Linked DNA regions of Astyanax mexicanus. The protein of the gene in region 2 binds, or shares a complex with, the protein of the main gene of each other region. Links are inferred from orthologs where the notes say so. Each region holds a gene or a part of one and is shown on either strand. Other genes may lie near its edges. The genes, in order: prkci and llgl1.

Region 1 (16,326 bases), on a different chromosome or scaffold from region 2:
CTAGTCAGAGGAGTCCTGTTTTCTTCTCTGTCACGTGGAAGAATGGTTGTGTGCACATGCGGTGGGAGGCCAAAGCAACAAGTTCTATCTGTGGTATCTTCACTTAGTAACACACAGAATGCTGAGACATTGTGTATGTGCAGATAGCACAGATATCATCTCCAGAGGTCTGTAGAAAAACTGTTGGTGGAATACAGTGGATATGGTTGTGTATTGGAAAAAAACAGATTTAACATACTGACATTATTATTCTTGATAGCAACACTGGATATCGTCACTGCTTATAGAAAACAGAACACCTCCTTATTTCATTACATACTGTAAATAGTCATGTCAAAGTTCAGCACACCAAGTAAAATTATATATATATCCTGTTGAGACCCTGCGTTCTCGTATGGGGACATTACATTTCTGCATCTGTGCACCATGATACTTTTATATTTTTTTTTAAGCATTGACCTCATATGGAGACACTATCCGTACCATCTAGTGGTCACATGATGTTACACTCAATTGATTATAAAAAAACAAGATGATGGGAATCCCAGTCAAAAGTTTCTACAGCCAGTCCAGACAGAAACATACGCTTGGTAAAATTTTGCATTGAATTTTGTTTAAAATTGTTTGGTTTTTTTTGTGTAGAAAGCTAAAATTAGTTTTTGGACAAATTGGGTCCTACTGATCACAAATGTCAAGGATAAATGTTATATGTCAAAATAAACCGCTGTCCCCATATGAGGACGATGTTTTTGTACAAGAAGTTGTTTTTTGCAAAAACACAGTTTAGTTTTTATACTAGTTTGAAGTCCTAAATAGTCCTAAATAAAAGTCCGGGTCTCAGGAGGATATATATATATCCTCCTGAGACCCGGACTTTTATTTAAATATAAATAAACAAATATAAATATATATATATATATATATATATATATATATATATATATATATATAATAGTTTGTTAAAACTGCTTCTTCTGCTACACTTTGTGTACAATGTTAGTCAGTGAGTGGTGCTTTAGTACAGGATTTAGAGTTGATGTTACTCATCTTCATTTCTGCTTACTGGATTTGAACAATAAACAGCAGATGCAGTAGACTGAGTGTGTTTGTGTGTGTGTATTTGTGTGTAGAGAGATGTTACTCTCGGACATTACTGAGAGCTGTCTGTCTCTCTGAACACTGATGACACCCCCTTTCTCCACAAGAAGTCAGCACTGTGCTGCAATCACAGCAAACTCATTCCTGGATGAACAATGCTATTACAGCAGCCCTTTCACCAATCCTGAGGATTCTTCAACCCAGAACCCTTTCAGTGTAGTAGGGAGTAAGTAATAAGGTGAGCGGCCCTAAATAGACAGTTTGATTAACTGGGGGCTGCTGATGTGGCTGTGATTGATATAACTTTACCTGCTGCTTCACTTTGTCCCACCGAGTTCATCTTTAAAGAAGCTCTGCTGCTTCTGAAAGCCTGGAAACAATAAAAACTGAACTATACTGGAGTTCACCAGGGTTTCTATGGTTTGTAAGGGGTTTCTGTGGCAGCCTATTGGTTTCTGTTGTATTTAGGGAGTTTCTGTGGTCTTCAAGGGGTTTCTGTGGCATCAAGGCAGTTTCTGTGGTTTACTGTGCAGCCATGGTTGCAGATGTGCACATTTCACCTATTTGTTTGATTAGCTTTATCTCTACTCCTATAGGTATAAGTGCCCCTTGCTGGGTCTGGCAGGTACAGGAATAAAACAATAGATTCTCTTTGGCTTATTTAATTTTGCGGAAAACATGAACCACTCACACACTATACTGCTAAACGTACAATTAACACACACACACCACACACACCACACACACACACACACTAAAAGTACATTTCCCCTATAAAGCTTTGTTTTAATAACAATCAATAACTAACTATTTATAGATAAATTCAGAAAGAAAGAAATTGAAAAAAAGAAAAGTGATAAGCATAAGATAAGAACTGGTTTATGAAAGTGGTTTGTGTTTATGTTGTGTTTATGTGGACCAGGACCCACCTTCCTCATCGATCCACTTCATGGTGAAGAGCTGGTCATTGTCGAGAGAACACATGTCCCTCACCTCGCTGTACAGACCCTCATAGGAGATGGACGGCTCAAAATGCGTGATCATGATGTCCCTGCAAGATCACCAGAATGACCAGATTAGAAAAAGACTACCTATAAAATTTTAATGATTTACATGTCACTAAACATCTGAGGCACTGTACAGTCTGATTCAAATTAAAGTGAACTTCAATATACTCTCACAGAAAAACACATTTAACATTATTATTTATAACAGCATCATACATATATATATATATATATATATATATAAAATTATATAAAATTTATCTTCTATAGAGACAATGATCCAAAACATAAAGCAAAATCTACAATGGAATGATTTACAAATAAATGTATCCAGGCGTCAGAATGGCCAAGTCAAAGTCCAGACCTGAATTAAAATATTTTTATATTAGAAGCACAATGTCTGTTTTTAATAATATATATATATATATACATATATATATATATATATATATATTTTATATATATATATATATATTTTATATATATATATATATATATACATATATATATATATATATATATATATGTATATATATATATATATATATATATATATATATATATATATATATATATATATATATATATATATATATATAGTGGAGTGACATTTTTATACCGCCCCTTTCCTTCCTTGAAAGCAAACTGTTCTATTAATGTTTACGCACACATGCGCACACACACATTTGCTGCTCTAACAATCAGGGTTTCAAAAGGAAAGGGAAAGTACAGGAGCGGGTTAAAGGAAACATATGCTGAACTATGCTACACTGAATGGAGACTAAAGGCTATCATCTAGCTCTGCATCAGTTTGCTCTGTGTCTGTACTAGCAGCATTAGCATATCTGGGTGAAACATGACGCATGAATCTCAGTGTGAGCAAGACTGAGATTACATTACATTACATTACTGATGTACACACACACACACACACACACACACACACACACACAATGACTAACTACAAAACACACACAGAAACTGACCCCTAGGTCACTGTACTGTTCTGAGGAAAGGACTGCAGACACTACACTATACTATCATCACACTACATACTTAACTCTAGCAGAAACGGGCATAGGAGTGGCTTTGACATTGGGGTGTGGGACACATTTGCTACTATGCATGAAAGCCCATCCTATCCCCTAAAATACAGCACCCTCCATAATTATTGGCACCCCTGGTTAAGAAGTGTTCTTTGGCTTCAGATAAATTTCTTTTTTTTTTTTTTTTTTTTTACAATATAGAACATGGATCTAAGCTTTAATTCATTAAGTGCCTTTATTTGGTGGGAAAAACAATTTTTTAATTGAAATCATGTGTTCCACTTATTATTGGCACCCCTGGTGTTATTATTTTATCAACCTCCTTTTGCCAACAAGACAGCACTTAATCTTTTCCTATAACTCTTTACAAGATGGGAGAAAACAGAAAGAGGGATCTTCCACCATTCCTCTTTGCAGCCCCACAGCATGATGGAACTGCCACCAAATTTTACTGTGTATAGCAAGTGTTTGTCTTGGAATGATGTGTTTCTTTTTTCTCCCCTTGTTATGTCCACACACTCAATTAAAGTTTCATCAGTCCATAGAAACCTTATTCCAAAATGAAGCTGGCTTGTTCAAATGTGCTTTAGCATGCCTTAAGCAACTCTGTTTGTGGCGTGTGCTCAGAAAAGGCTTCTTCTGCATTACTCTCCCATACAGCCTTTCCTTGTGCAAAATGCCCTGAATAGCTGAATGATACACAGCAGGGGTGTGTTAAAAAAAAAAAAAAAAGAATCTTCGATTTAAATCGATCATTAATTAAATTATCCGATAACGATACATATTAACCCAAATCGATCTTTAGAATCGGCCATTTTCCCCGTATATGAGTACAGTTTTACCGTCTCACGTTTTATCTTGCAAAATCATCCTCGCAAGCACTGCCCTCTGGCTGGGGTGATCTGGAGCACGAGAGACGGCGCACAGGAGTGCGGGGGACTTTCTGTAAAAATTAAATTCTGTATTTCCACTCAATGCTGCCTGTGTTTATCAAACTACATTAAACACTGTTTAAGTTGTTTTCCAGTGTTGTTTTCACCTGTACTTTATTTAAAGTAAGACCTGACTGGGTGAATCCATCGTTAGCTTAGCGGGTTAGCCTTTCACCGGTTAAACTAATCCTCGATAAGAGCCGGTTTTCCCAGCACTACACATGGCTGGAGCACTTGCAGTGTCGAGCGGTCGATCAATTTAACAGGTTTAACTGTTAGCCAGAATAATTGTTGATTAACCTGTAACTGAGTAATTTAATGTGTAAATAGTGGAATCACAATCGTGTTCTTTATGAAGCGCTGTTACTAATTCAGATTATTTTGTCCCCAGGGAACGAGAGGCTCTTATAACAGGGGAGAAGAGCTCCGGCTCAGTGAGGCTGGATTTTTCTTTAAATTTAATAAAGTTTCCTCTCTTTACATTATTAATTTTGCTTGTTGTGTTTTTATTATCACTATGCGTATTATAGTATCACATCTGAACTAGTGGGTATAGTAAAATTTCACATTTTTATTTGCAAATAAATACATTTATTAAGCATTTTATGTCCGAAGCCTCATTAATGATCTGTAAGCACATTATGTTTTACCCACTAAAGACTGGGGGAAAAATATAATATCAAAAGAATTAAATAACAGGCCCATGTAAAACAACATACACTTACACAATACCAAGACTAATTATATATATATATATACTCTCTGAAATGCTTAAGGGCATTTTGTAGAAATATCATGATAAAACACTTCCGTCTCTCTTCCTGAGGCAGGAGTTCTTACAGGCTCCATTCAGAGTAGAAATCCATCAATCACAGGCTGAAATGAGGATAAGCATCCTGAGCATACTGCTCCTGATTAAGGGGGCAATATGGCACAAATATCATCACTATACAGAAGACGTTTTCACAGTACCGTGTATGAAGGTCTATCATCTCTACACTGCACACTGTTAGAGAGGCTTATGCATGTTTGTTCATAGACTTATAAGTGAAAGGTTACACTGTTCCAAACCACATCCATTTAGCAAATAAAAAGACAAATGAGAGACAATTAAGAGAAAAATTATTATCTGTTTATGCAGATGAGATTAGTGACAGTTTAAGTCCAGTGTAAGTTTAAATCATGTCCTGTTGGACACTAGGAGTTTACATGTAAAAAGATTGGTGTCAAACACTGATTATGTTGTGTTTAAACCCTAAACTAGAGGGCAGTGTTGTACTTTCTTTTTTAATCTCACTGTTCTAACTGAATAAATAAACGGTATAATGTGCATTTTTACACTAGAACAGTTTTAAATGCAAATATCTTCTTGCATAAAGTATCACAGTATATTAAATCGTAACTGCTGTAATGTGATATGCATCATATCACCGATAGACAGCAGCAAAGCTTACTAAAGAAGCACATCATACCAAACATTTTGTTGAACTGCTCCTTTAATGCGAGGCATCTGAAGCAATGGAGGAAAGCAGAGGAGGAATACATTCTAACGGGTGCGGCAGAAATTTGTGGATCAGCAGGTTTATCAGGTCCTTCAATGAATTACACTCAGTCAACACACACACACACACACAGACAGACACGCACGCGCACGCTAAACATTGACAACCCTGAAGTATTTCAGAAAAAAATTCCAGACACCCATAGTGGTAAAGGTGTGGGAGGAGAACGGCAAGTCTGGATGATATTCCAAAAAAAATCACAATACGTGCAGGACACAATAACATAGTATAGATTTTAAAACAAACTAAACATATAGTACATACCTAAAATGTCAACATTTGTGCTACTAAAACAGCACCTTCTGAAGGTTGTACCAAACACAGATACTTTTATGAAAGTTCTTTTACATTGGACTTCTTGTTCCAAACCCCCACAAAAAAAAGTGCTCACAAAGCCAGTTGTCCACGTAACGGAGAAAAAAAAAGGACTCCTCGGACCAGACCACTCTCTTCCATCAATTTGCAGTCAAATTCTGACAATCACATGTCCATTGTAGGTGATGGAGGACAAGGGGTCAGCATGGTCACTCTGATAGGTTGGCAACTATGCAGCTCCATTTACACAACAGGGGGTACTGCACTGAGTGATATTTTCCTCCCGTAACCATCACTAAACAGAAGCACTATTTCCCCTCATCAACATTAATGCTTTCATCTGAGAGGGGGCAGAATCTGATTGTCTTTTCTGGGAAATACTTTGGTTCAGCTTCAGTACTGCATTACTGTAGATCACTCCACTAACTCTGGATATGCAGTGTTTAATTTTGCACCAAAAGATCAAACCAGAAAAGAGCAGAGTCTACCCCACAGTGTGTATTTACGCGGTGTCAATGTGTGACAGGAGCAGAGCAGAGCTCACAGTGCTGGCCTTCACAGTGAATACTGCTTTTTACAGTATAAAAACTACAGCATTATTCTTAGGGAAGTCCAATTATGTTTTACTGCCTTATGTGCCAGTATGACTCTTAACACTGAGCATCATCTAATATCTATTTGATCCCAGTACCCTAATATTTTTAATAAGTTTTATCCAATTTCATCCAATATGAGTATATTAACGCTGAGTAGAGACTAATACCAATTACATCTGTGTACAGTAGTTTTGAGTATTTTGCAATAAAGATCCATCTACCTAAATGCTGAATATCAGACAATATTTGAGTCGTTTACTGCTAAGTATGAATTATTTCCAGTTCTATCCAAGCACCTTATTGCTAAGTATTATCTGACACCAATCTGATTTCAGTATCTTCAGTTGTGTATCAGCTGATACGGTCTTGAGTACCATAAAGCTAATGGCTGATACAAACCCTACCAATTCATACCTCAACGCTGAGTATCAACTGATGTCGGCCAGATTAGGGTACAGTAAAGATGGGCATCAGACAATACCAATCTGATCTGAGTTCCTTAATGCAGAGCATCAGCTTGAATCAGGGAGTACCTTATTGCAAAATATTGGTCAAACCAATCCAATCCAATTAGAGTATCTTAATGCTCCGTGTCAGGTGATACTGAGACAGGCTCCTTACAACAAAACAGAAGACAATACAAATCCGATCTACATAACGATCCTCGTATTGCAATGATGTGTATCGACTAACACTAATCCTAACACCAATCCTTAATGCTGAGTACTGGCTGAATCTGTCATAAGCATGGGTGTTGGCAGATTACCTTAAAGGCGAGTTTCCACTGTTACTAATCGAACACCATATAACTGAGTATAAACTGCTTTGATCTTAGCTATGAATCCTGTACCATTACGCTGAATATCAGCCAATGCCAATTTGATCTCTATAGTAACATCAGCACTTTTAGGCTAAATAACCAATCTGATCTCCCTAACAATCCAAGCACTGCTATGCTGAGTATCAAAGGATAGCAATCTGTTCACCTTAAATGATTTGAGAACCGGCTGATACCAATCCAAGTACCTCAGTGCTGATACTAGTGCTGGGCGGTATGACCAAAAATGTATATCACAGTATTTTTCAAGATAATGACAGTTCCACAGTATATTGTGGCATTTTTATTATTTTATTTATTTATTTTTGCATGACTAGGCTTTGATATAGGTTTGTGATTTATATGGCTGGATATTGTTTTAAAATTTTAGTACCAACAAATAAATTCAGTCACTTCACTTCTTTAGAGTGAACTGGTATACCCCCCAGCACTAGCTGATACTGATCAGATAAGAGTACCGTAAGGCTGAATATCGGGCAATACCGCTCTGTTTCAAGAACATTCATTCATCGCTGATTCTGTTACAGTTACCCATCTCACTATCTTATTGATGAGACACTGATCCGATATGCCGATATAAAGATACCATTATACAAGTACCATAATGTTATGTTTCAGCCAATACTGATACAATTCTCACACCATAATACTGAGTATCGGCTGATTCTGGTCTGAGTACCTCAAAGCGGAGTATCGGCGAATACCGATCAGATCGGTATCAGATCACAGTACTCCGTGTTGAATATCAGCACAGGTATCAGACTGTACCTAAGCTTTCAATATGATAATATATTAAAATACCTTTATTGTGTGACACACTACTACTACGTACTGTGACACAGTAGGTATACATTAAAAATGGACATTTTCAAAGCATTTTAACACTGAACTAGAGACAAGTCTTAAACTGCTCTGTTCACGCGAACTTTCCGTTCCACCTTAAATAAGGCAGCAGTTATAGTCGCCTCATTTAAGGTGGAGCGGATTATTCCGTATTTAGAAATGTAGCGCTGTTTAGGGATTTCCCAAGTATTTTAGCGGCAGTGTGAGTTAATATGGGATTGAACAGTCTAGTAAACGTTTTAAAAACGTTGACAATTCATTTCAAAACGCAGAACAAGTGTTTACTTTCAGCCTAATCACAGTTCTAAACTTCTCAGGCGTATTACCACCACAGTTCTAGCCAATTTTCCAACTCTGAGACACAAACAAGGTTAAAAAGTAGTGATGAAGTTATTAATCAGGATATAAAGATTTAAATATATAGACTTAAAATAGTAAACTAACGCGAACTCACCCGCGGTAGTAGGCCTTCACCCGGACCTGGTGCTGGTTCTCCCCCGGGTGGGTCGCAGTGCTGTCCCGCACCGTCGGCATCGTGAACCGCCAGCCAGCGAAGCCCCGGAGAAAACCGCCTTATCCGGCTCGACTACGGTTTAAGCTAGTGCCGGTCAGCGGAGCCGGTCCTCCTGGGTGTGTCCGCGGAACAGAACGGAGCTGTAAACGGGCTAAAGGCAGGCTGTGAGCGGGTCTGACCGAAACACAACAGCGGCGGCCTGGTCTGGAGAACACAGCCGGAGTCTCGACTCCCCCCACAACAGACTGTGCAGTGGACTCTACTGCGGAACGAACTAACTATGGAATGTGCGGGGAGCGGAGACCAACCTAATACCAATAAACAACGAATTTAACATAAAACGTAATAAATATTACATTTAAAACATTTAAGCCATGTGTGTGAAGGATAAATATTGGGTTACTTTGTGGAATAAACACAAAACTATATTGTTCTAAAGTTTTGTCAACCCTTTTTAAGTACAATGGAAGCGCCCGGAAAGAGTCCGACTATTCCAAAAGAATGGCCGAAGAGGGGTGGACGATTCTTGATTCACAACTCTTCAAGGTAAACCAATCTTATCAGTCGGCGCTCATAATCTCAGTACTCTCTTAACTTGAACTACTGCTAAAGAAAAAAAAAATAGGACAAAAAACAAGCAGAGACTAAAAATTTTACTAAATAAAAACAAAAAAGTCTAAATCAGTTGCTAATTTGGTAAAATATCTGTTTCACTAGTCCTATTTAAAAATAATACCCCTAACAATTCTATGAAAATTGGGTACCCCTCCACCCTAGAACCTCAAAACCTCAGTACCTGATCCTAATGTCATGGTTTCAGCCTGCAGACCACCCCACCTTAAGCACACACGTTCATTTTGATTATGGGTTTCCTTTACTAGTTCAGAACCTCTGTGTCTGATCTTGTTGCTATTATTAAAGCTCCAATACCGCCATCCCCCACTTGAGGTTGGGTTAATTGTGCCCCCCTCTACACACCTGAGGTTCTCATAGATATTTTGGGCCCCAGTGTAATTCCCCTTACCTCCCACACAGCTGGTGGCGCTGCTAATTACCACATTTCTGATGACTGTTTTGTTTTTATTCTCATTTGATAGTCAGACAGCTGCGTTTAATTCACACCCGTATTCTGCCAAGCCACGCCTGCTCCTCTGTGATTAGCTGAGATTGTAGAGCCCCGCCCATTTCCTGTTCATTCTGCTGCACAACACATTACTGCAGTATAGCGTAGTGGCGAAGGAGGGCGCCAGAGAGCCAGTTCAAAATTAACTGAATGAATGGAGTTGACTTATAATTAAGATAATTAATTAGGCAGGTTTAAAATCATCCCTTAAGCAAAGATTTCTTTTCACAAACAGCCTGTCTGGACTAGAGGTCAACAATATCTCTACTTCAGTCTTACAGCTGATGTAAAAATGTTAAAAGTGAAAAATAGGTATTATAGTAGCAAACAAATAATTAATTATTTTAAAAATGATATAATATAATATATTCGTATAATAAAAATATTATAAGAAACATATACAACATTAATTACACACTCTGTAGATTTAATTTAATTTAGAGTTAATAATAACTGTTCTGTAGTAAAGGCAGCTGTAAAAGTATACAGTAAGTAAGTTATACAGCTGATTGGCCGTTCAAACTATAGCAGTTAGCCCCACACATAGACCACTGCAGTCCTGCAGTCATTTTTTGGACATGTTGTTTATGTCCATAATTGTGTTTCCGTGTCGAAGCTGAATTTCTGTATGTCCACAATGAATGAGCTCTGTATGTTCTACTCTGTGTACATTTCCCTCCTGAACATCACTGGATACTCTGAGTTTCGAGATCGTTTAAGAGTCAAAATGCAAATAATGCTAGCTTTTAGCTAATGCTACGGCGCACTGAACTGAAGTCACAGAACAGCGGCAGGGAACGTGAACAAGCTGGCAGAGATATGACACAGACTGTAGAGTGAGGTAAAAACACTTTCAGTCTGTTGATGCTGAGCAGTGTAGCCTGTGTTAGACTTTTAAAAGGCAGATAATAAGACAAAGTGAGCTTTAGGTGCTCAGTGGTTCCCAGTACTCATTCTGGAGCAGCGCTTCCCGGCGGATTTATTATTTAACTACAGTCATTGGTTTGAACTAATTACACACCTGATCCAAATAATCAACTAACTAACTGCCCTGGAAGAGGTGAGCTGAGCTGGGTGTGTTACACCCGCAAAACATTAAAACAAGCAGGACAGTGTTACTCCAGAACCACAGAGCTAAAACACTTAATGTAAAAGTTTAAAACACTTAATGTAAAAAGGCTTAATGTGGGGTTTCTTAAAGGTCTCATTCCATCATTTTTGAATTAATTAAAAATGTCTAGTTTTGGTCTCAGTATAAATGAATGCCATGTGAGCTGTTTTTTGTAAAAAAAAAAAAAAAATGCTCCAGTGAACAGGTGTTTCGCTGCTTTAGTCCCTTAGAGGAGTGGGTGGGGAGAAACGCTAGGATTTTGGCTCTTGCTCATGAATATTCATACATGCAAACATATGGCCTCTGATTGGCAGTATCATATGTTACATTACAACATGTGTAATACCTTGCTAATGCAGTCCAGCCACTTACCTATTCTTACAGTCTCTGTAAAATGCAAAATCTTTACCTTTAGGAAGTGAAAGAATTATTAATTACACCACAACAGCAAATTCGTGTTGTAAGTAAAACTGGAGAAAATAAGTGATGGAACATTGTGTATATAAAATTACATTTAATGATATATTGTATATTTACAATGTTAATAAACAGTTGTACTGATTTTCTTCATTATATCTCTTTTAGTATTAGTCTATGAGGTGTTTAATATAATCTGCGCAGCTGCATGTTTGCGTGAACACTCCCTGAACACTCTTCCCTGATGGCATGGGCATATTCCAAGATGACAATGGCATAATTCACTGAGCTGGATTTGTGAAAGAGTGGTTCAGGGGGCATGAGATCATTATTTTCACAGTTCAGACCTTATTTTTATTTATTTATTTTTTAAATGAATGCAACACAGGATTAAAATAAATCTTGTGACATTGCAGAAGCTTATTGAAACAATGCCACAGTGAATATGTGCTGCAATCAAAGCTAAAGCCGGTCCGGCAATATATTAAAGAATAAATAATAAAGTGTACACTTTTTGGGCGAGACAGTGTTACACAGTGATAATAAACATATGGAATAAGAAAAATAATATACTCAGTTAGTTATAAAATGTCACATTGATTAGATACTTAGAATAAGAGGACAATTTTGTTAAACAACAGTGTTTTAAACACAACACAAAAATATAAAATCCATTTAACTTATATCCACCACCTTTCACAGAAGAGGAACTGTGTTCTTAGTTGACAGGTAAATTTAACACATTCAACCATAAGCCGATACGTCTGCTTTTACCGTATTAAATAGGATAATCCAATACCAGAACATCCTAACCCAGAGAAACAGCTAGGTTCTGAAGCTCCAGTAAAGCGGGTGGTTTGTGAGGTTTACTCGCTACACTCACCCCAATTTGCTCAAATGCTCCATATGAATATTTGAAACTCTGGTATGTATCTATGTATGTATCTAAAGAGCATGAAACACTTTCTAAAGTGGTAATTTTCCTTTCTGAAAGTTCTCTGTAATCATGTAATTAATATGTAAATTTAGGTGTTATTACAAAACATTGGATATTTCTAAACAATACTCAACTATTTTGAGTTAGTTGAACATTTGTGGGCACATATATATTTAAACAGAGATCTTTGAGTTGAACCAATTTATAAGTCTGCTGCCATTGGCAGATTATTTTCCATTGGCTTCTGTCACAATCTATTTGCATACTGGGTGTGTCAAACAGTTTCTGACACTCAACATCAGTGTGTAGTGTTTCCCCCTGGGCTGCCTTAGAAATAAATCAAGTTTCCCTTTTGTTGTTATAACTTAATGTTTTAATTTATGCTAACTCAAGTTTTCTTTCCCCATTACTTAAAAGTTCTTACCAAATTTCCACTTTAGTTGTAATAACTTGATGTTCTAAGTTATGCTAACTTACGTTTTTATTACCCATAACTTAACTTTTTTAAGACAACCGGTTTCTTCAATTTTTTAAAGTAAATCCAACTTGTCCAGGCTTACAGTGCATGCTAACATTTTTGCTGACAAATCTACAATAAAGAAAGCATTAAAGAAGAATGGAGTTCATGGGAGGACACCACAGAGGAAGCCACCGCTGTCCAAAAAAACATTGCTGCACATTTGAAGTTTGCAAAAGAGCACCTGGATGTTCCACAGAAGAACTGGCTAAATATACTGTGGACAGATGAAACCAAAATTTAGTTGTATGGAAGGAACACCAAACACTATGTGTGGGAAAAAAAAACACCACACCATCATCAAAACCTCATCCCAACTGTGAAACATAGTGAAGGCAGCATCATGATTTAGGGCTGCTTTGCTGCATCAGGGCCTGAATGGATTGCTGTCATCAAAGGAAAAGTTAATTCTCAAGTTTACCAAGACAATTTACAGGAAACTTAAGACCATGTGTCCGCCAACTGAAGCTCAACAGAAGATAGATGATGCAACAGAATATAGAAGTAAATCAACAACCAAATGGCTTTAACAGAAAAAAAATATGCCTTCTGGAGAGTCCTGACCTCCTGAACCCAATTGAGATGCTGTGGCTCGACCTCAAGAGAGCGATTCACACCAGATATCCCAAGAGTATTGCTGAACTGAAACAGTTTAGTGAAGAGGAATGATCCAAAAGTCCTCCTGACTGTTGTGCAGGTCTGATCTGCAGCTACAGGAAATGTTTGGTTGAGGTTTTTGCTGCCAAAGGAGGATCAACCAGTTATTAAACACAAAGGTTTAAATACTTTTTCAGAACACATTTAATGACCAATTTATGCAGAAATCCATGTATTCCCAAAGGGTTCACATACTTTTTCTTGCAACTGTATGACAAACAAATCACTCCTGTTACTGTCACTCATTCCTGATACTTTTTATGTTTTATATAACTGGATTGAAAGAAACAGGAGTGAGTTTTTAGCATAGAGTTAGCAAAAATAAATAACTAAATAAGATCTAAGAATTAATTTAGGTAAAAGGAATGAGCGTTGAGATTGAGCTCCTCTGTTATAGTTAAAATTAGATAAAATATACAGAAAAACAAATGAGGATATGACTTGTTGTAGAATGTTCCAGATGTTTCAGATGGGATAATTTGTTACAGTATCAGGAATGACACAAATAAATGCAAATAAAATGTGTATTTAACTTAAATATTATGGATTTATAAATAAATGAATAAATATATAAAAATCCATAATATTTAGGATACGATACACATTTTATTTGCATTTATTTGTGTCATTCCTGATACAAATAAACTGGAGAGTGTAAGAGCTTTAAAACTATTCAGAAAGAATACAGATGATTGACCTTTCAGTCTACATCAATTTATCCCCACCCTTTTAGTCATAATAATACATGTGTATTGTCACAATTATCAAGATGATTATCTGTAACTATTCTACACCTGTTTTTGATGAAAAAAGACGTTTTTAGGCTAATTCAAATAAATCCCACTGTTGTGTTGAAGCGCTATAGAAGCCCATTCATTTTCCACCCTCCTGCGCCCTCTGGAGGACAGTCGAGAGTCAGACTTTTAGCCAATCACAGCACAGGGGGCGGGGCGTGTCTGAGTACGGGTGCGCAGAGCGTGGCGTCTCGCCGAGGCGCGCGGGTAATATCGAACAGCAGACAGGTAAGAGTGATGCACCTCCAGCTCATCTCACCTGCAGACAGAGCTGCCGCGTTCTGCGGGACGGGTCACCGCTTTCTCTGGGTTTAAACGAGGCGCGGCGCGGGAGCAGGAGGGATGAAGAGCTGGGAGGGGGCTCAGACTGTGCTGCAGGAGGGGGGCGTTTCTGCAGCAGAGAGACAGACAGACAGCAGCTCTGCAGCTTTAGACCGGAGAGCGGGTTTAGACCAGAGATTAAACCGCTCGAGCTGCGGCAGAGTGCAGTTACAGTTCAGTAAAACGCTTCAGAGTTCACTCTTCATCTACATCACTATCAACAACTTAACATCTATACTAATAAGGTCTACAGGCTTTGTCTAAACATAGTTTTAAACCTGAAACAATCTGAAACTAAACCTGATAACTCAAGTTTAAACTTAAATCTGCACAACCCTAATCTAAACCTAAACCTGTACATCTTAAGTCTAAACTTATATACTAAACAGTGTCAGTCTAAACCAAAACCTGTACAGCTTTAGTCTAAACGTAAGTATGAAACAGCGTCAGTCTAAACCTAAATCTGCACAGCCCCAGTCTAGACCTAAACCTGTACAGCTTCAGTCTAAACTTAAATATAAAACAGCGTCAGTGTAAACCTAAATATGCACAGTCCCAATCTAGACCTAAACCTGTACAGCTTCAGTCTAAACTTAAATATAAAACAGCGTCAGTCTAAACCTAAATCTGCACAGCCCCAGTCTAGACCTAAACCTGTACAGCTTCAGTCTAAACTTAAATATAAAACAGCGTCAGTCTAAACCTAAATATGCACAGACCCAGTCAAGACCTAAACCTGTACAGCTTCAGTCTAAACTTAAATATTAAACAGCGTCAGTCTAAACCTAAATCTACACAGTGCCAGTCTAAACTTAAATATTAAACAGTGTCAGTCTAGACCTAAACTTGTACAGCTTCCGTCTAAACTTAAATATTAAACTGCGTTGGTCTAAACCTAAATCTGCACAGAGTCAGTCTAGACCTAAACCTGTACAGCTGCTGTATAAACTTAAATATTAAACAGCGTCAGTCTAAACCCAAATCTGCATCAGCCCCAGTAAAGACGTAAACCTGTACAGCTGCAGGTTTAATCTAAACCTAAACAGCCTAAACAGCAACTATTTATACCTAACTTGCACGGCTCCATCCTACACACAAATCTAAGCAGCCTCAGTCTAAACATGAACCTGTAAAATATATGTCTAAGCTTAAATCTTAGACACATAGTCATGTGCTGTGCAGATTAAGACTGGAGCTCTGCAGATTTTGGTTTAGTCTAACATTGTGTTGTGGGTTTAGATGGTCACTGTGCTGGTTTAGGTTTACTCTGGAGCTGTACAAATGAAGTTTTAGTCTGGAGCTGTGGAGATTCAGGTTTAATCGAGACCATGCTTGTTTAAGTTAACTTTAAATTTAAATAACTGTCTGGAGCTCTGCTCATTTGGGGTGCTACTGTGAAGGTTTAGATTCTGTGTGATGTTTTAAGTTTAGACTGTAGGTTTGCATTTAGTCTAGAACTTGCTAGTGGAAATTTAAATAATAATAATAATAGGATGTGCAAGCTTTGATTTCATTCAGAGCTTGGTGGTTTAATTTAGACTACAGCAGTACTGATTTATGTTTAGACTGAACCTGTGCAGTTTTAGGTTTACACTACAGCTTGCTGATTTAAGTTTAGAAAAGTGATGATGGTTGGAGCTCAGGACATTTGGATTAAGTTGAGCTGGGTTTAGGTTTAGTCTAGAGTTTGCTTCTTAA
Region 2 (17,100 bases):
TAATTACTGAGTCTCACGCAGAACAATTAATGAGGTGAAACATTACTTAAACGGGCCTATACAATCGGCCCAGTCTGACAGGGACGTCCTACCAGAACACAGTGTGAGAATAAGCTGGTTTGAAGAGCTGAGAAGAAAGAGCTTGGCGTTAACTGGGCAGCAGCTGCTTCTGCACTACATGACGAGGTGTGACATGATAAATGACTGGGCCATCTGAAGACATTTCTCACAGTGTCTCAAAGCCTCATCAGATTCACACAGATGCGGTCACCCTGCCTGACACCACCATTTTTCACAGAGGTAAAATGTCAGAACACCTTATTCCCAAAACAAGTGCTGAGAGACTATAAAACGATTTTCATGATGATTTTAAAAGAGTCAATTTCATGATGAATGAGCCAAAAGAAATGCCCCAAAAATGTTTTGGAAAATTTTTTTACAGTGTCTTCTATTGAACATGGAGAGGAAGCATTTAGCTACTATGCTGTTCTGAAATCAAACCAATTGACAGAGCGTTAGAAGAGCCCCAACACTAGAGACTTTTAAACCCAGGCTGAAAACCTTCATGTTTAATTAAGCCTTAGCCTTCAGCTCAGTTTAAAACAGTGAAGCTCTTTTATTCTGTAACAGCACGTTTATTCTAATTTATTTGGTTAAATTTTCTTCATTTAAATATATTGTTTTAATCATGTTTAAATAATCACGTTTTGACTCTTCTAAATCATGTTTTTTTCACGCTTTATTCATTTTTCTTTCATTTTTATTGTTAATCTTTTTTTTATTTGACTTCTCTTTGTATTTTCTAAATTGTAAAGCACTTTGAATTATTGTGTATGAAAGATGTTACATAAATAAACTTGCCTTGCCTTGAAATATAAGCACCCCTCCCACACATTTCCTCCTTATGACCTGAGCTACACTTTATTGCCAAAATTAACTGCTCCTCTGCCTTTGAACACTCTGAATTTGAGTGACACAATTTGAGTGAATTTGACTAGAACAGCTTTAACTCCTCTGGAAAGGCTTTCCATAAGGTTTAGGAGTGTGTTTATGGGAAGTGCATTTGTGAAGTCAAAAAAATGATGGGAAGGGATTGGAAGGCCTGGCTCATGGTCTGCACTCTACCTCATCCCAAAGTTGTTATATCAGGTTGAAGTCAGGATTCTGTGCAGAACAGTCAAGTTCCAGTAAGGTTGGAAGAATTAAATTGTCCAAAATCTTTCCAATTTCCTTTCAATCATAAGGAGCCGAGCCACACTCCTGAAAAACAGCCCCCAAACAATAATCCCCCCCCCCCCCCCCGCAAACTTTAGACTTGGTACAATGCAGCCAGAAAAAGAACCGTTCTTTTGGCAACTGTCAAATCCAGACTCGTTCAATGGTTTACCAGACGGAGAAGAGAGGTTTGTTAATCCAGAGGACACTGCTTTTAGTACATTGGCTGAATGTTTTCCACCACTGCACTTGACACTTTGCATTGTGTATGGTGATGAGGCTTAAAAGGCAGCTGTTTGGCCATGGAAACCCATTCCATGATGCTCTCTATGCTCTTCTGTTCTTATGCTAATCTGAAGTTACGTGAAGTTTGGAGGTGTGTAGTGATGTAGTGACTCTACAGAAAGTTGGTGAACTCTGCACACTATGCTCCTCAGCATCTACAGACCCCCCTGTCATTCCTAATCTCTTCCACTGTGTTATAATATCACTGACAGTTGGCTGTGGAATATTTGGTAGTGAGGAAATTTTACGACTGAACTTGTTGCACAGGTGCTGCATCCAATCACTGTACAACAGTGCTGGAATTCTACTAAATGTTACTAATGTTGTAGAAGCACCTGTGGCTGTGGAAGTGATGGGAACATCGGAATTCAATTGTTTGAATAATTACTTTTGGCAATATAGTGTATATGCAGTACCTTTTGGCTGGAGACTAACTAAGATAAGAGACCTAATAGTCCTCTGATTAAAAATTTGGGCAAAAATGAAGCAAAAAATGTGGTTAAGTCCAAATCATAAACATTTAAGAAAAGGGGTTCAGTAATTTTGGCACTATAATCACGGTTCAGTAAAAAGGAACAATAAATGTTTTTCCCTGATTGTTGCAAAGCTGCTATCATGGAGGTTTTGGGGGTTTTGCATGACAGAATGTGGGTAATCATTTCAGAATACAACGCAGTTTCTACTCACATGTGACTAGGTATAAAGTGACTTAATAGGGTGTCCAACCAGCACATATGGCTATTTCTGCAGTAGTATCCAGAGGACTTTTGGGACTTAATATAAAAATCCAGACTGGGGGTCTCAAAAAAAAAACACACACCTTTGTCTGGTCACTTCAATACGGATAGTCATTCCTTTGTATAGCATCAGACATTCCAAGTTAGTGGACACAAGTGGCAATTGCTCTTCAGGCAAAAATAAAAATACATCTCAGATTTGCTGTAGTGATGGATATGTTTCTGCAACACTGTGGTATGACTCCAGGAGACCATAAACAGCTTCAAGGAACACTCTTGGGGTTCAAATTGCTTTGGAACAATAGTTGGTTTGTAAATTCCCAACAGATCCATCACAAATTGCGAAGGACTGTTTTAACCACAAGGGAACACACTGCACACTGTGGTCAGCGTATCAGGATACACAAATCACATTACGTTTACACTCGCATCTCTGACCACCTCCGAAAGTGGTTTGTGTGTTCCAATTGTAATCCTTTCACAATGAGTTCCGGGCACGTTTAAACTTGGGTTTATGTGGTCAAGAGAAATCCGAATGTGACCCAATTACTAAAAAGTGCAAGTTACTGCAAAGTGTAATTTTCTTTATATATAGTTAAAGCTCACCTTCCGTCGTTTTTTCTTTCATTTTAAAATGTCTAGTTGTGGTCTCTAGTATGAATGAATGACATGTGAGCCGTTTTGGTAAAAAAAAAGTGCTCAGGTGTCTCTGTATAGCTCTTTTTTAATGGACTGTTTTAGGGGTGTGTCCAAAATGACCGGATTCCAGCTTTGCTCATGAATATTCATACATGCAAACAGCATGCAAATATCTCTCCTCTGATTGGCTAGGAGCACTGCGACGCCCCTCCGCCGCTCCGCCGCTCCGCCTCTCTGCCGCTCACTGCCTCCCACCTCCTAACTGATGAGCGGTGATGTTGCGTCGCTTCAGCTCCGCCTCTGGGAGTTTCTCGAGCCAAGGTGGGCTGGTCTGTGAGTTTCTGCCTACGTAGGCAGAAAGATAATTCAAAATTCACCCGTTTTTCGGAGGGGGGGAGGGGGGATTTCTTTGCTTAGCTCCTGCAGACAATGGGGGCTGCAAAACAGTTTAATGTGCAGGTGTACACATTCAACTCGGAGAGACCTACTGTATTCCACAAAAAAACAAGAAAAATCGGATTTTCGCGGAAGGTGAGCTTTAAACAAGATCAAGTGAACATGCTTTTAAAAATGGTGTGGTGTACAGTAGGACACAACAAAAGCAACTTACCCCTATTGATACATTGCTTCTACTTTAGTAATGATTCAAATGTCAGGTGTCAAGTAAATTCCTCGAGTAAAAAAGTTGGTTATCTATACTTTAATGGAGTCATTGTTTTTCTGCCACGGCTTACATTTTAGCCTTGTTACTCTTATTTCATTTCAGCTTGTTTTCATTACAGCTTCTCGTCAATAAAAAAACACCCTATCCAGATAAATCTCTCCTTCCAGATTGAATGAGTGAATCCGATTGCGATTGGATTAGAAGTATAAACATATACAATTCTGACACCCTATTGGTTTACACGATCCATCACACCTGCATGTCGCGCCCACACTCCAGCAAGAACATAGCAGATGTATGTAGTCTAGAATGAAGATGATCCATGCAGAGACTCAAGAGAACTTAAGAGAAGAAATTTCAATATATTTGCATTGTAAACATTAGAATACATTCATTTTCAATGGGCATATATGCAGCTGAAACAGGGAGCCTAGTGCATCCTAGTGCTTTTGTCCTTAATGTTATTTTTTCCCGCCTTACATTACTTTTACACTTTAAGTAGTTTTAAAACCAGTACTTTTACTTGAGTAAAAAGCTTTAGTTGATACTTATTTTTAAACCCCAGGATCTATACTCCTACCCGAGTGATCAAGGTCAATAAACATAAATGCAATCTTAATCCTAGAAAATTGACAGTGACCAGATTACTACAGAATTACCATTAAATGGTGACATACACACTACTTTTTTATAGACTTGCTTATATATAGTTACAGGATTCACACCAATATGTTATTCACCTCCTTTGGAGGCTGTAATTTAGTACAATTTTAAAGAACTCCCACTGAGACCCAGCCAGGCTAAAATATAGCCTCTGTGTGACAGCTGAGACTTCCAATGAAACCGGTGTTATACTCCAAGCTCCATATGTTAAACAATAAAAGGTCAAAATACGATGACTATTTACTTAAAAAGTACACAAAAAAACTTTCACTTTGAGCCACATGTACTGATTAATAATGCTGGTTCTCCTCTCAGAAAAGAGTTTTTTTGGCTGAATATTGTATACAATATTGTGTAAGGTTAGAGAAAAACCCTGATCAGAACATGTCTAAATTGTAAAACTCATTAATGCAGATTAAAATAAACATTTTACACAGAGAAATAATTAGATAAAAAAAACACTACTTATACTCCATATATTTAGAAAAGAAGCCAAAGTCATTACTCAAAGGATATCAGAGCCCACCTCCTCATGCCTGAGGTGAAAAGAATTGTCTTATCTTAATGAAGATGTTACTTGTCTCATTACATAACAGTTCAACAAATCTTACCATCTCCTGCCTCTGAGAAGCGAGTTCAACTCAGGTGGGAGAATTTACTGCCAGGCAGATGTCCTAGACTTCTCACCACTGTGTAGACACTTTATTGGACTCCAGATTTTGGTATTTAAAGTCTACAGTTTTTTCAAATTAAGAGTGTAAGCATACTCTGTTAACTTTAGTCACCTCCAATTTTACCAACTCTCACATTGTCAGGGAAGTGAGACCCAGACAGAACTAGTGGAAGACCACAGGATAAGTTTGGAATTGTTTTCAGAGAATCTGGATAAGAGAATTTTACAGAAACATCACAGGCCACACTCCACTGCATATGCTGTTTATATGACCTCATTCAGAGTTGAAAAAGAGAGAGAGAAACAAAAGGATATAACCAGAATCTGTTTGACAGTTTTATACTGTCAGAGACGGACAGCAGTAAAACAGCAGCAGTGTGGTGCAGCAAATGTTAAGATTGTTTAGTGGGAGGAGCAAATGGAATGCATTGTTTTTTTAGGAATTTTAGACAATAACGGTTACAGAAACATATCCCACATTTCTCCTTATTGTGTACACTCTTTCTATAAACTGTTATATAGTTAGCAAAGAGAAAGTGTGGTGCAACCACAGTTACACAGTCAGAGACAGACATCACCCAGACAGCACTAGTTAAATGAGTGCAGCCAAATATGTTATTGTTTACTGGGAAAACTGAAGGAGAGGTTTGGAATTATTTTAAAAAAAGAGCACATCTGTGGTAATTTTCCCCAATTTCATCAAAGTTTTCACAGTCAAAGAAACAGCAATAGCTAGTGTGGTGTGACAAATGTTTGTGGTTGTTTACTGGTAAGATTATGGGAGTTTGGGTGTTTTTAGGCATTTTTGTACAGGCCATTCATGCAAAGGTTGTATGGTTGATTCATGCAATTGTTTGTTTTGCCAGTTTTACCAATGTTTTTACACTGCTAGACAAAAAAACAAATACAGAAAAGAGCTAATTTGTTTGTAAGAATGTCTGGGCTGCTTTTTAAGATGTTTTAAACTAGTTTTAAACTCCCACACCTTGCTCCATTGTGTACTGGGAAGAGCAGAAGATATGTTTGAATTGTTCTTTAGTAACTGGGGACAAGAATTTGGAATGTGCAACAAAAATAGGTTGCAATATCACACAGTTTACTGAAATAAGCGTTAGTGCAAAGTTGATTCATGCAACTGCTTATTGTTTTTGCCATTTTATCAATGCTAAAAACAAACACAAATATAGAAAAGAGCTTTTTGGCAGAATAAGCTTGGGCTGTTTTTGAGATGTTTTAAATTAGAAATGGTACATAAACACATCCCACACCTCTCTACATTGTTTTCTGGGAAGAGCAGAAGGTATGTTTGTAGACATATCTTTAGTTTTTTTAAGTGATTGCGGACAATAAACGTTGCAGAAACACATACCAGACCTGTGTACACTCTCTGTATGTATCATCATATAGGAGTTCCAAAGCTGAAAGCATAAAAATGCTTTGTTAACATTGGTAACTAACTAGTTTAGCCAATTTTACTAATGTTTTTAGACTACTAGAGACAAAGAAGACAAATATAACCTAGTCATCAAACCAAGCTGAACTGCTTGGATTTGTGCACCAAGGAGCGGCTTAAAAAAACAGTAGTGTGCAAGCAGTGTGCAAGACTGGTGGAGGAAAACATGCCAAGATGCATTAAAACTGTGATTAAAAAGCAGGGTTATTCCATTAAGTATTGATTTCTGAACTCTTAAAACTTTATGAATATGAACTTGTATTCTTTGCATTATTTGAGGTCTGCATCCTAATTATCCTTAATTATTTTTTTCCAGAGGTGTTGAAAGGTTTTGAATTAGAAATTGTACAAACAAACATCCCACACATCTCACTAATGTTTACTGGGAAAAACAGACGATATGTTTGGATTGTTTTATAGTGACTGTGAACAGTCGTGTTAAATAAACATCCCAGACCTGTGTAGACTCCTAGAGACAAACAACAGAAAAAATGTCCTAGAAAAAGCGTGGATTAGCCAAATTTGAGATTATCAGTAGCTGTGTTTTTAAGGAAATAGTGGATAGTTAATATGTTTTTTTTTTAATTCTGGAGACTAAATGTCTCATTTATAAGAAAGCACATTAAACTGTGGTGCAGGACAGAGCAGCAGCACTGCATTACAGCAGAAGCAGCAGCAGCAGCAGCTTCAGCTAACTTTTTCCGTTGAGTGGTTGAGTTTTAACACGCAGCTCTGATGAGCCGCAGCTGAGCGGGCAGCCGCTGCTCCCCGCAGAACCCCGCGGTTAAACTGCCCGCTGCCCCCGAATCACACCCACCTTATTAAACGCGAAGAGGTCCTGCTTAATCTTCTCCCTCTGGGGGTCGTTCCCCTGCCGCCTGAACCGAAACTTCATCATCCTGAAGCCGAACACAGCGTCCCCAAACCCCGCGGCGTCTCTCTCTGTCTCTCAACTCCCGCACCGTTTAAACTGACGCTAAATAAACGGACAGCGTGCCTCGCGTAGCTCCGCGTCTCCCTCCGCCTCCGCTTCTCACCGCCCGCCCACAGCCTGCTCCTGTCGTTCAACCACAGGGCAAGTTCACAGGAATCACGGCCGCAGCAGCCAATCACAGCCCGGGAAACCGCGACCAAGCCTCTAAACCACGCCCCCAGCCTCACTGCGCACCCAAAACCCGGAGCGGATTCCGCGGACCGGAGCGCTGCTGCCGCGGACTGTAATCAGCAGCCAATTTCCCAGCGTCCAATCAGAAGCGCCGCTGAGAGCAGACCGTTTAAGCACGCTCCACATGCAGGGCTTCAGAAGACCAGACCAAATACTTACTAAAAACCTAAAATAATCCATTTAAAACATTTCCCAAAATTTGATAAAGCATTATTTAATTTTAATAAAAGTATCCATCTATTTATAAATTTGATTCAATTTCGAATTAATTTAATAATTCAATCTTTTTCTCAATTAAATAAATAATCCCCTTGTTACAAAAATCTAAATCTGGAAAAAATGTAAATTTTTCACTTTATATTATTCTCTTGATTGTATTAAATTTATTACACTCCCCTAATTTAAAAGACAGGTACCACAATCTAACAAATCTTTCACTACTTATATTCACTAATCATTCCATCAATAAAAATGTATTATAATATAATAAATTATTCCCTTTATTTGAATAATTATTTACCATAAGTTATTACATGATTCCCTTGATTTAAACATCTGTTATCACGGTTTGAAACATGAAATCCCCACAAATTCCCTCAATTTAAGAAATTTCTCCCTTGTTTCTGCCTTAAAAAAAACAATTTTGGAAACATAATGAAGGAAGGAAATAGTGAATATTTGAAAATAACAAATGTTAGAAAACAACATTGAATTTATTGAATCGACACATTTTATGGCCTTATATAAAGCATGCATAGTATGAATTCAGTATTTTGGATTCCTCATACATTGCCTTATAATTTGCAAGTGAGTTTAATTTGCAGTATTATTCCTTTCTATTATGCAGTATTTTGATTGTCCTGAAATAAGTTTTGAGCTCAAACTAAATATCTTTAGTGATGTTTAATAATGAGTAGGATATATCAAATAAATCACACGGAGGCTTTCACGTTTTGTTCAATTATAAAAAAAATAATTTGAAAAACTAGATTTATTTTTGTATTCAGATACAACATGTGAAAATGACACACAAATACATTATGTACATATTCACAGAAGTGCAAATGATTTCAGAAACAGCAGCAAAACATGGCATATCCTGACAAATCATAGACATTCTTTATAGACGGGCGATTCTACCTTGTGTTCCACAGTGAAAGTGGAATCAGGGCCTGTGGGGGCATATCGAAGCATATTCTTCAGGGTGTGAGGTAGTGGTAATACGATTTAAATTAGCAACAAGGCTAAAAATCGGTCAAATCATTCTAACAATATTTATCATTGAAAGTGGAAATATAATGTGTGTGAGTGTTTTTGTCTGAAGGCTAATTAAAGCAAAGTGATCTCGCTGGGAGGCAGAGTGAGTCTCTTCTCTCGCACTGACAGCATGTTCTCCATGTGCATGGCGATGACACGGCATAGTTCCAGACTCTGAAAAGTAACAAACACACACACACATCACACATATGCAAAAATCACTCCAATAAATCCAAAAGTTGGTACTAAATGCTAAAGTATTTAATTGCAGACAGTATAAACTCAATATTTGTAGGACCCTATCTTATACCCTGTTCATTGCTATCTTACACCCTACCAACAGTCTATTTTCATGCCTCGCACCTGCATTGTTTAAATAGCAACAGTGTGTGTGAATATATCCAATAAGGAAATATGGTGTGTGTTTAGGTAAATTTCTGCCATATTGCTACCTTGGCAACAAAAAACACAGGTGCACCACTGACTGAAAACAACCTAAGCAGACATCAACCATCAGACACAAGCACGTGCCCAACACACTTGTTACGCACAAATGGACACGCAGCAGTTAAAAGACCCATAGCACATGCCTGTTGGCAGCTATGCAAACTTTTACCTCAACAATAAACAGAATGAACGCCCAAAACACACCCATTATTAATTAAGAGGATAAGTACATGCCTTTGGCGTGTTTTAAGCCTCGCAGTGCATACTTTTCCTGTGGTTACAATAGCAAAGTCATATTGCACGCCTTAAATCAAGCTGCACGGGGTGTGGGGATGACTTCTCACCTAAAGATTTTTAAAATAGAGCCCTTAATGTTTTGTCTGCTCAGTTTATTTCATGTGCTAATATACAACACATTTCAAAAGAAGTTGGGATGGAGGCAGCGTATGGTTAAAAAAAATAATAATGATGTTATTTTAAAAAGGTGATGTCAACAGCTGATTATAATCATGATTTGACTCAGACTTTGATGAGCAAAGATGAGGAGAGGATCTCCAGTTTATCAACAAGCGCAAGAGAAACATATTGAAATGTATAAAGACGGGGCACCGAGTGGTCCAGCGGTCTAAAACTGTCTGCATCAAACGAAAGTCAAAGCAAATGTACAAAAACTCCCAGTCATGTCTGATTTGTCTTTGCATATTTTGGAATTAAGCCAGCCCAAACCACATCATGAAAGATCACAACATCCCAATTATGTTATTCTCCTTCATGTACACATACAGTACAGAGCATACCTGGTCTAAATGCAGCTGTGTGATGCGCTGAGACATCAGATCTCCCAGCATTATCTCCACATAAGGGTAACAGGAGCCGGCTGTAGGCCTCTGAGTGCGGCTGGACTGCACCTCTTTCAGGGGGAATTTCAATATCGGCTCCTGCAGAGCAAATAATCGATCAAGTTCATCAGTTCATCAGGTCTATCTTCTTTATCTCAATATAAAGATACATGTGTTCATGATCTGCTCAGTTTACTTACATGTGTTTCTTTGTTCAGGAAGTTCAGTCCGTTCTGATTGACAGCCAGAATGCAGGGGCAGTCAATGGAGCTGTTGCTGCTGCTCTGAATGTAGAAGAAGGAGGATCCAAACATGGGGAAGGCACTTACGAGCCCTGTAATACCAAAATATAAAGCAGTGGTCATAAATACAGTATACACCATAGACACTTACAGTATTGATTACGTTTTGAGCATCGAAGCTCCTTACCCAGGAATTGGGCTCTGGCTTGATGGGGGCTGAGGGCCTGGATCTGCTGCATGTGTTGGGTTACCATGTTCAGCCACTGCTGGGGGCGCTGCAGCACACACAGCTGGACAGGAATGCACTCCTGGACCTCAAGGCTTGAATGTACAGATAAACATAGTTTATAATTTTAGCTATTAATCCAATTGAAAAAAAACTTAAAATAAAAGATTAAAAATAAAGATTTTAGAAATTCATAATTTTGTTAAAAGTTCTGAAAAGATCAACTTGTCCGATAATCATGTCATTATGTGAATATAACACAAGAAAACAAAACTGACACTTTGAAGATAAAGACCAAATTAATAGTTATAAAAGCTATTGGAGCAGGAACGACCCATTCAGAGCAGAGCGCTAGCAGAACTAATAAAATCTTTTTCTGAAAATGTAATGAATTTAACTCTATCATTTCTGAAATCCAGGACTGGAATCTGGAATCAAGCTCTAGAATTGAACATGATCTAGAAAAAACATGATCTAGAAAAAGGTCTGGTAAAATGTAAGGCGAGTGACTGTTGAATTACAGGGAAGGAAGATAGGCAGAGTCCTTGGCACGATGTTGCAGGGCGGCCAATTTTGCCACCTGCTGAAACTGCTGCTCACTTGCTTTCCCCTGCGGAACAACATTCAGCAGTCCTTTTAAGTAGTCAGGGGCAACCTGCAATATGAGACACATGAAAAAGTACAAATTCTGTGACAAAAGCTCATCCAATAAGTACAGCAATGCATCATCCAACCTGTTACTGAGGTATAAACAGAAATATTAAAGTGACAGTGTGCAAGTCTTTTCCTAGTAACCAGGAAAAGTTGCTATAGCCAGAAAAAATCCTTGGGATCTACAAGACACCCTGTCTTTAAAATAAATATATTATATACTGCAGGAATGGTAGCAGAACACACTGATGCCATTTACAGTATTATAATATGTTGCCCTCTCTGAACTAAGGGACAGTACTGTTTTTAATTCAAAATAATGAAAAGGTGCTGCTTTAAGAGAAAACAGGTACCTGGTTGTAATGCATGGTGACTCCAAGTTCATTGTCAAATTTAAGTGGCTGATTCCAGATCACTCTTCTAAACCACAGGCTGTAATTGCTGTCGATAGGCTCTGCTTCTGTGACGATATCCAAGATGTACTCTCTCTTATTCAGTGGACGAACGTTCTGACCTGTAGATTAGGAGTGATGGAGAATTTTATAGAAAAACATTGCACTTGCAGCTCTGGAAAAATATGAGACCACTTAAAAATTATGAGTTACTTTGATTTTACCAAATTGAAAACCTCTGGAATATAATCAACAGGAAGATGGATGATCACAAGCCATCAAACCAAACTGAACTGCTTGAATTTTTGCACCAGGAGTGGCATAGATTCCAAAGCAGTGTGTAAGACTGGTGGAGGTTTAATTCACCAAAAACTGATTTTTGAACTTTATGAATATAAACTTGTTTTCTTTGGCATTATTTAAAGTCTGTTCATGTTCATTTTACTCAAACATATACCTATAAATAGGAAAGTCAGAGAAACAGATTCAGAAACTGACCATCCAGAGCTGTATATACACTGCATATAATATCTATTGCAGTGGCTGTCAACCCAGTTCTTTCATTCCAACTAAACGGTTCATAATCTGGCAATATTCCATCCCCCAACACAGCTGAAACAAGTCATTAGTAACACTAAATAATCATCACAAGCACGATACGTGTTAGTTTAGCGCAAAACATGGTTAATCTTGTGCATTTTGAGACAATACTGATCTAGAAATGGAGATTTTCATTAATGAACCTCAAATACAGCAGAAAAGTGCAAAACTATATAGAATTTGTATTGTAGATATAACAGCTTTAGAATCACTGTGATGCTCCACTTATGATTGTGAGAATAACATCACTATCATTGTCACTCTGTGCTCATCACACTGCTAACTGCATTGTGTAATTCTGGTTTAACTCTTCTTAACTCAAGTCAAATTTGTGTAAAATCGTGTATTTGGTAAAATTATATACAACATAATTAATTCACTTTTAGTGACAGTTCTGTATTGATCAGCTTGCCCAGAAATGCATGTGCAAATCGTGTCCTTTAATGGTGCTACAAATTATGCAATCATCAAAAATATACTGATGTTATTAATTATATGTTCTCACCTCTGTTTGTGACAACAAATATGGCATATTCATCCATGGCCTCCATGTTGTGTAATCCCATCTCATAGCATAGCTCTTCTATGGCATCCAAAGCAACCTAAATATGACAGTTGCACAAATATAGTGTAATAAATATAGAACATAAACTCTCAAAGCATGAAAGCTTGAAAACAGGAAACTCACTGAGCAGGTCTTAATTTTCAGGTGCCGCTCAGTCCCCCCAGGGAGAAGAAACAGCTGACGTTTGGAGCTCCTACCAGCCTACAGGAGCCAAGAGCACAGACATGAAGAAATTAAACAGGGTAAGTACAACCGTATAGCTGGATTAAAGTCAGGTAAATATGAAAACTAACCATCATAGCCTTCAGTTCCATGCTGTTAGGATACTCAATGCGCCCGCCGTATTGAAACGTCTTCCTTAGGTTCTGCTCACAAGCTTTGGCAATGCCTGCCAACAACAAGACAACATCAAGAACCTTCTCATGTTCATTTCTGTCTAGTGTACTTAATTAAATTAAATTAATTAATTAAAATGGTCTACTAAATAATCACTGAAGGAGCTGAGAGGAGGTGAAGTATATGACCTTAATATTACAATTATAGGGTTCATATACTTTTTAACCAATACATTTTCATGATTTTTTCATGACTTTTCCATGCCTTTAAGGCAAAGTTTGACCATACGATTTTTAAATCATCAGTGAAGACATGAACAATAAAAACAAAATTCAACTAAAAATATAATCAAAATTAATTATAGTACGCCTAAAATTAATCTGATAAAAATGTTTACACACAATCTTAAATAATAAAATGTGTGTCAGATCCTAAGAGCTCTATTGTGTAGACTTAAAATACTGAATTAACTTTAAGCTGATTTTCTCCAAACTTTTCCAAAGCTTTCTGGGTATTTTTTCCTTCAAATTTGCTATTTTCAAATCCCATGACTTTTCCAGGTTTTTCCTGACCGTCTGAACTCTGCAAATAACATTTTACCTTAATTCTGACTAATGAATTATTATTTTAGCGAACAACAGACACAGCATGTTTTATTTTTTTACCAATTTTCTCTCCAATACAGCTTAAAAAAATAATCCACCCACTTACTCATAATGCTCCCAATACTAAAAGGGACGAGGACGAGTGCATGCGTCCTCCCATTTATGTAAAATTAGCTGCCCCTCTTGTAGAATTGTCACCAATAAGCATCACTAGCAAGCATCATCTACACGCAATCAATTGTGCTCTCTCGGGCTCCGGCTGCTGATGCTAAAGCAGTATGACCCAGGATTCCAACTGCTGTTGCCATGGTATCAGTGTTTTAGTCCGCTTGGCCATGGTATCTCATGGCATTTTTATTTATTTACTGTGTCACTTATATACTTACATTGTGGCGAGGCTGAGTGTGGGAGTGCTTAGGAGGTCAGGGAGGAGCCTCTTTTATTTTATTTAGGGTTAACAAAACAGTTCTAACAGTGTTAGTACACTCTTTTCTTGCACAACAGTATTACAGAATGTACAAAACAGGGACCACAGGATAAATGTTACACAATATATAACGATTAACAGAATTTAATTCTGAAAAAATTAAATAACTGATATGAGCAAGATTTATACACAAGATCCCAAAGCTTGGTTTCTATTTATGTTTAGTAAAATATCCAGCCCTAGAAAGCCCTAGCAGACACCAACAGCGTCCTACCTTGAAAGTGCACTCCTGGGCTTGCGCAGACGTCCAGCAGGTATTTCAGTAGATAGGGCTTCAGGACTTCAGAGCAGCGGTAATAGGCTGTGAGGATATACAGGAGCCTCCACCCCTTTTGACAACTGTCACTGAAAAATACAGAAAAAGTACAAAAACATCATGCTGACAGTCTACATACTGGATTTTCTAAAGCAGAGAAAAGAGAAACGATACGTTTTTGAACTGGTGTTTCCGGTGATCTGTTTGAGGATCTGGCAGTATGCTTCATCCTTTAAAAGACCATACTCTCCACTCAGCTGCCAAAGAAAAACATATATCACAGGAGAATCTGATTTTACTAATGGTGGACGGTTAATGTATTTTGTGCCGGGTGGTCTGTTTGTGATTACCCTCAGTATGGTGCTGACGATGTCTTGCTCAGTTTGGCCTTTTATTGGGTAATCCCCCATAAACTTCATTATAGCTGGAAAAACATCAGACAGATGTATAAGATACATATGCACAATAAACAAACACTAGATAGTATGTAAACATGTTTGTGGACACTCATTTTAATAAAGGCGATCATCTACTTTAGGTTGCTCCCACTGCTGAAACAGATGTGCAAATGCACAAACACAGCTTGTCTAATTTCTGTAGAGAGGTTCTGCCAATGAAATAGGAAAATCTAGAACATTAAGTAATGGATTAGACGTGTATAAAGATCCCCGACATGAAGTTGCAGAGCTGTGGAACTTTGTTCTCTGGATTGATAAAAGACTTTAACTACTGCAAATCAATCAAATCAATCAATCACATTTTTACAGAAATGCTCCAAAATCTAGTAGAAAGCCAAATCGTAGTAGTTTGTGGAATTATAATAATTAATGGCACATATTGTTTTCAAATGCTGGGATTTAGTACAAAACAATAACTGTGAGCTCGATACTTACCTACAAAAATATCTGCAGCTATCTTATTCATATTTTCATCTGTGAACTCAATCAAGGACTGCTGGATTGGGGTCTAGTCAAAACAAATAAACCAACAACATTATCAACAACTGATACTAACCTACCAATAGTTATATAGCATAAAAAACTAATTATCTTAAATTATCTGTATGCTTAAAAATATTTTTTTGCATTCGGTGAATGTTTCCTCACAGTATTTAACTTATGTATTATTATATGTACTAATGGAGTATCGCAAAAACATTATTCTGCACCTTGGAAAATTTCACCATTTCTGCTGGATCCTTAAAGTCTTTCCCCTTCTTTGACTTTTGCTTATATGAATCACTGCAGAAAACATTAAGAGACAGTAAAGGATGTTCATTATCACAAATAAGACTGTTTCTTATGGCTCATGCTTGCTTAGTTCATCCTCTATTACATTTACATTCACATTTACACACATTTACCAGTTCTGTTTAAAGAAGTTGTCTGACCTGGTCTTTCTCTGTCCGTCTCTGAAATATTTCTTGGCGAACTCCACCATGTTGTATTGGCTGTCCTGCAGGATCCTCTCATCAATCTCCATGTCGCTGTAGTCTGTGTGGGCCTCTGTATACTCAGTGGCTGGTGAGGCCACCTAGAGGAGAGAGATGCTCATATATTAATAATACATAATTATATATATATAATAATAATATAGTGTATGAGCTACAGAACAGCTGCAGAACACAGATGATTATATTATTTTATATCATGTTAAGTACTTTTGGAGACAAACATACTTTACTGAAGTATTTTGATCAAGTTTGTCAAAAATGCAAGGGTATTTCTAAGGCCTTTTTTTAGTTCCCCTTCAACCACAAGATCATTTAAACAAAACAAGACAAGACGACCATTTTTGACATATTTGTGTTGGACACACAGATGGTATGTGGCCCCCTCCTTTAACCCACCCATGTAATAAACACACACACAAACACATGAACACACACACACACAGTAAAATACACTGACCACATATGCGTGGAATGGTGGGCAGCCATCAATGCAGTGCCCCAGGGAGCAGCAAGTGGTAAAAGGGCCTTGTTCAAGCGCCCAGTATTAGATATTAACCCAATAACCCTGTCATCAATATCCTGGTGATGTAACCACTAAATTACAGTGTAACTTTGAATGCTACACTGTAGAACAATGCAGTTACTGATATGGCAACTAAGAGTAGCAAGAGTATTTAGCAAAAAAAATCCGCTTGGTGTTCGGCCAAATACATAAAAAAAAAGAAAATATTTATACAAAATGATGATTAATTTATTATCATACTGTGTGTCAGCCTGCCTGCTCCGGACTCCATTTGCCAGCATTCACACAAGGCAAACTTCCCTCACTCCACTGATCATGTGACGCTACAACATTCTCGCTCTCCGAGCTACTGATTGTTTCCACCTGTTCTCCCCTGTATAAATACCCCTTTAGTTTGCCATGCTCATGGCTAAGTATTGAATCTAGTTTTCCTAATTCTTCTTTTTCTGACTCTTCTTTTTTGTATTTGCCTTTTTGTTACGATCATCGCATTTTGCGACCTATTTTTTTACTGACCTATTTTTGTGTTTTTGACTCCTCTCTTGTCTTCCCTTTTGCCTTGCTGGATCTTTTGTGTATGACCCCAGTTTGCTTGACTGCTCTCTCTGGTATGTTGTTTATTATTGTTGCCATTTAGTTACTGCCCCTGCCTGCCCCTCACTACTCTTGTAAGAATAGTCTCTTTGTCAATACATTTTTGATTCGTATCTGTGAGTGTCTATCCTGT

The links.
Region 1: the proteins of llgl1 (region 2) and prkci are in contact, whole or in part, in a cryo-EM structure (PDB 8R3Y), measured with the Homo sapiens proteins. The link is inferred for Astyanax mexicanus from reciprocal best matches to the Homo sapiens genes LLGL1 and PRKCI. Residues at the interface, in NP_004131.4 of Homo sapiens: Ala315, Asp319, Glu367, His391, Ser392, Ala394, Thr396, Glu453, Cys483, Glu484, His485, Phe506, Asp507, Pro508, Tyr509, Ser510, Asp511, Pro513, Gln518, Lys519, Lys569, Ala600, Val601, Thr602, Leu644, Gly648, Pro649, Leu650, Ser651, Arg652; in NP_002731.4 of Homo sapiens: Asp339, Met341, Gln345, Arg348, Leu381, Asp382, Met399, Thr412, Phe413, Cys414, Pro417, Leu425, Glu445, Gly449, Arg450, Ser451, Gly457, Ser458, Ser459, Asp460, Asn461, Pro462, Asp463, Asn465, Thr466, Glu467, Asp468, Tyr469, Leu470, Phe471.

Annotation. Positions count from the first base shown.
Region 1 is NC_064415.1:44,599,974-44,616,299, forward strand, and holds the start of prkci (protein kinase C iota type), read right to left. Parts: upstream 9,000-16,326; 5' UTR 8,772-8,999; coding exon 8,692-8,771; intron 2,150-8,691; coding exon 2,028-2,149; intron 1-2,027.
Region 2 is NC_064410.1:54,044,092-54,061,191, forward strand, and holds the start of llgl1 (lethal(2) giant larvae protein homolog 1), read right to left. Parts: upstream 7,369-17,100; 5' UTR 7,228-7,368; coding exon 7,147-7,227; intron 1-7,146. Other genes in the region: myo15aa (unconventional myosin-XV), read right to left, coding at 8,824-8,925, 9,996-10,136, 10,238-10,371, 10,467-10,600, 11,027-11,160, 11,510-11,670, 12,654-12,750, 12,837-12,914 and 7 more. UniProt on the Homo sapiens protein: Cortical cytoskeleton protein found in a complex involved in maintaining cell polarity and epithelial integrity. Involved in the regulation of mitotic spindle orientation, proliferation, differentiation and tissue organization of neuroepithelial cells.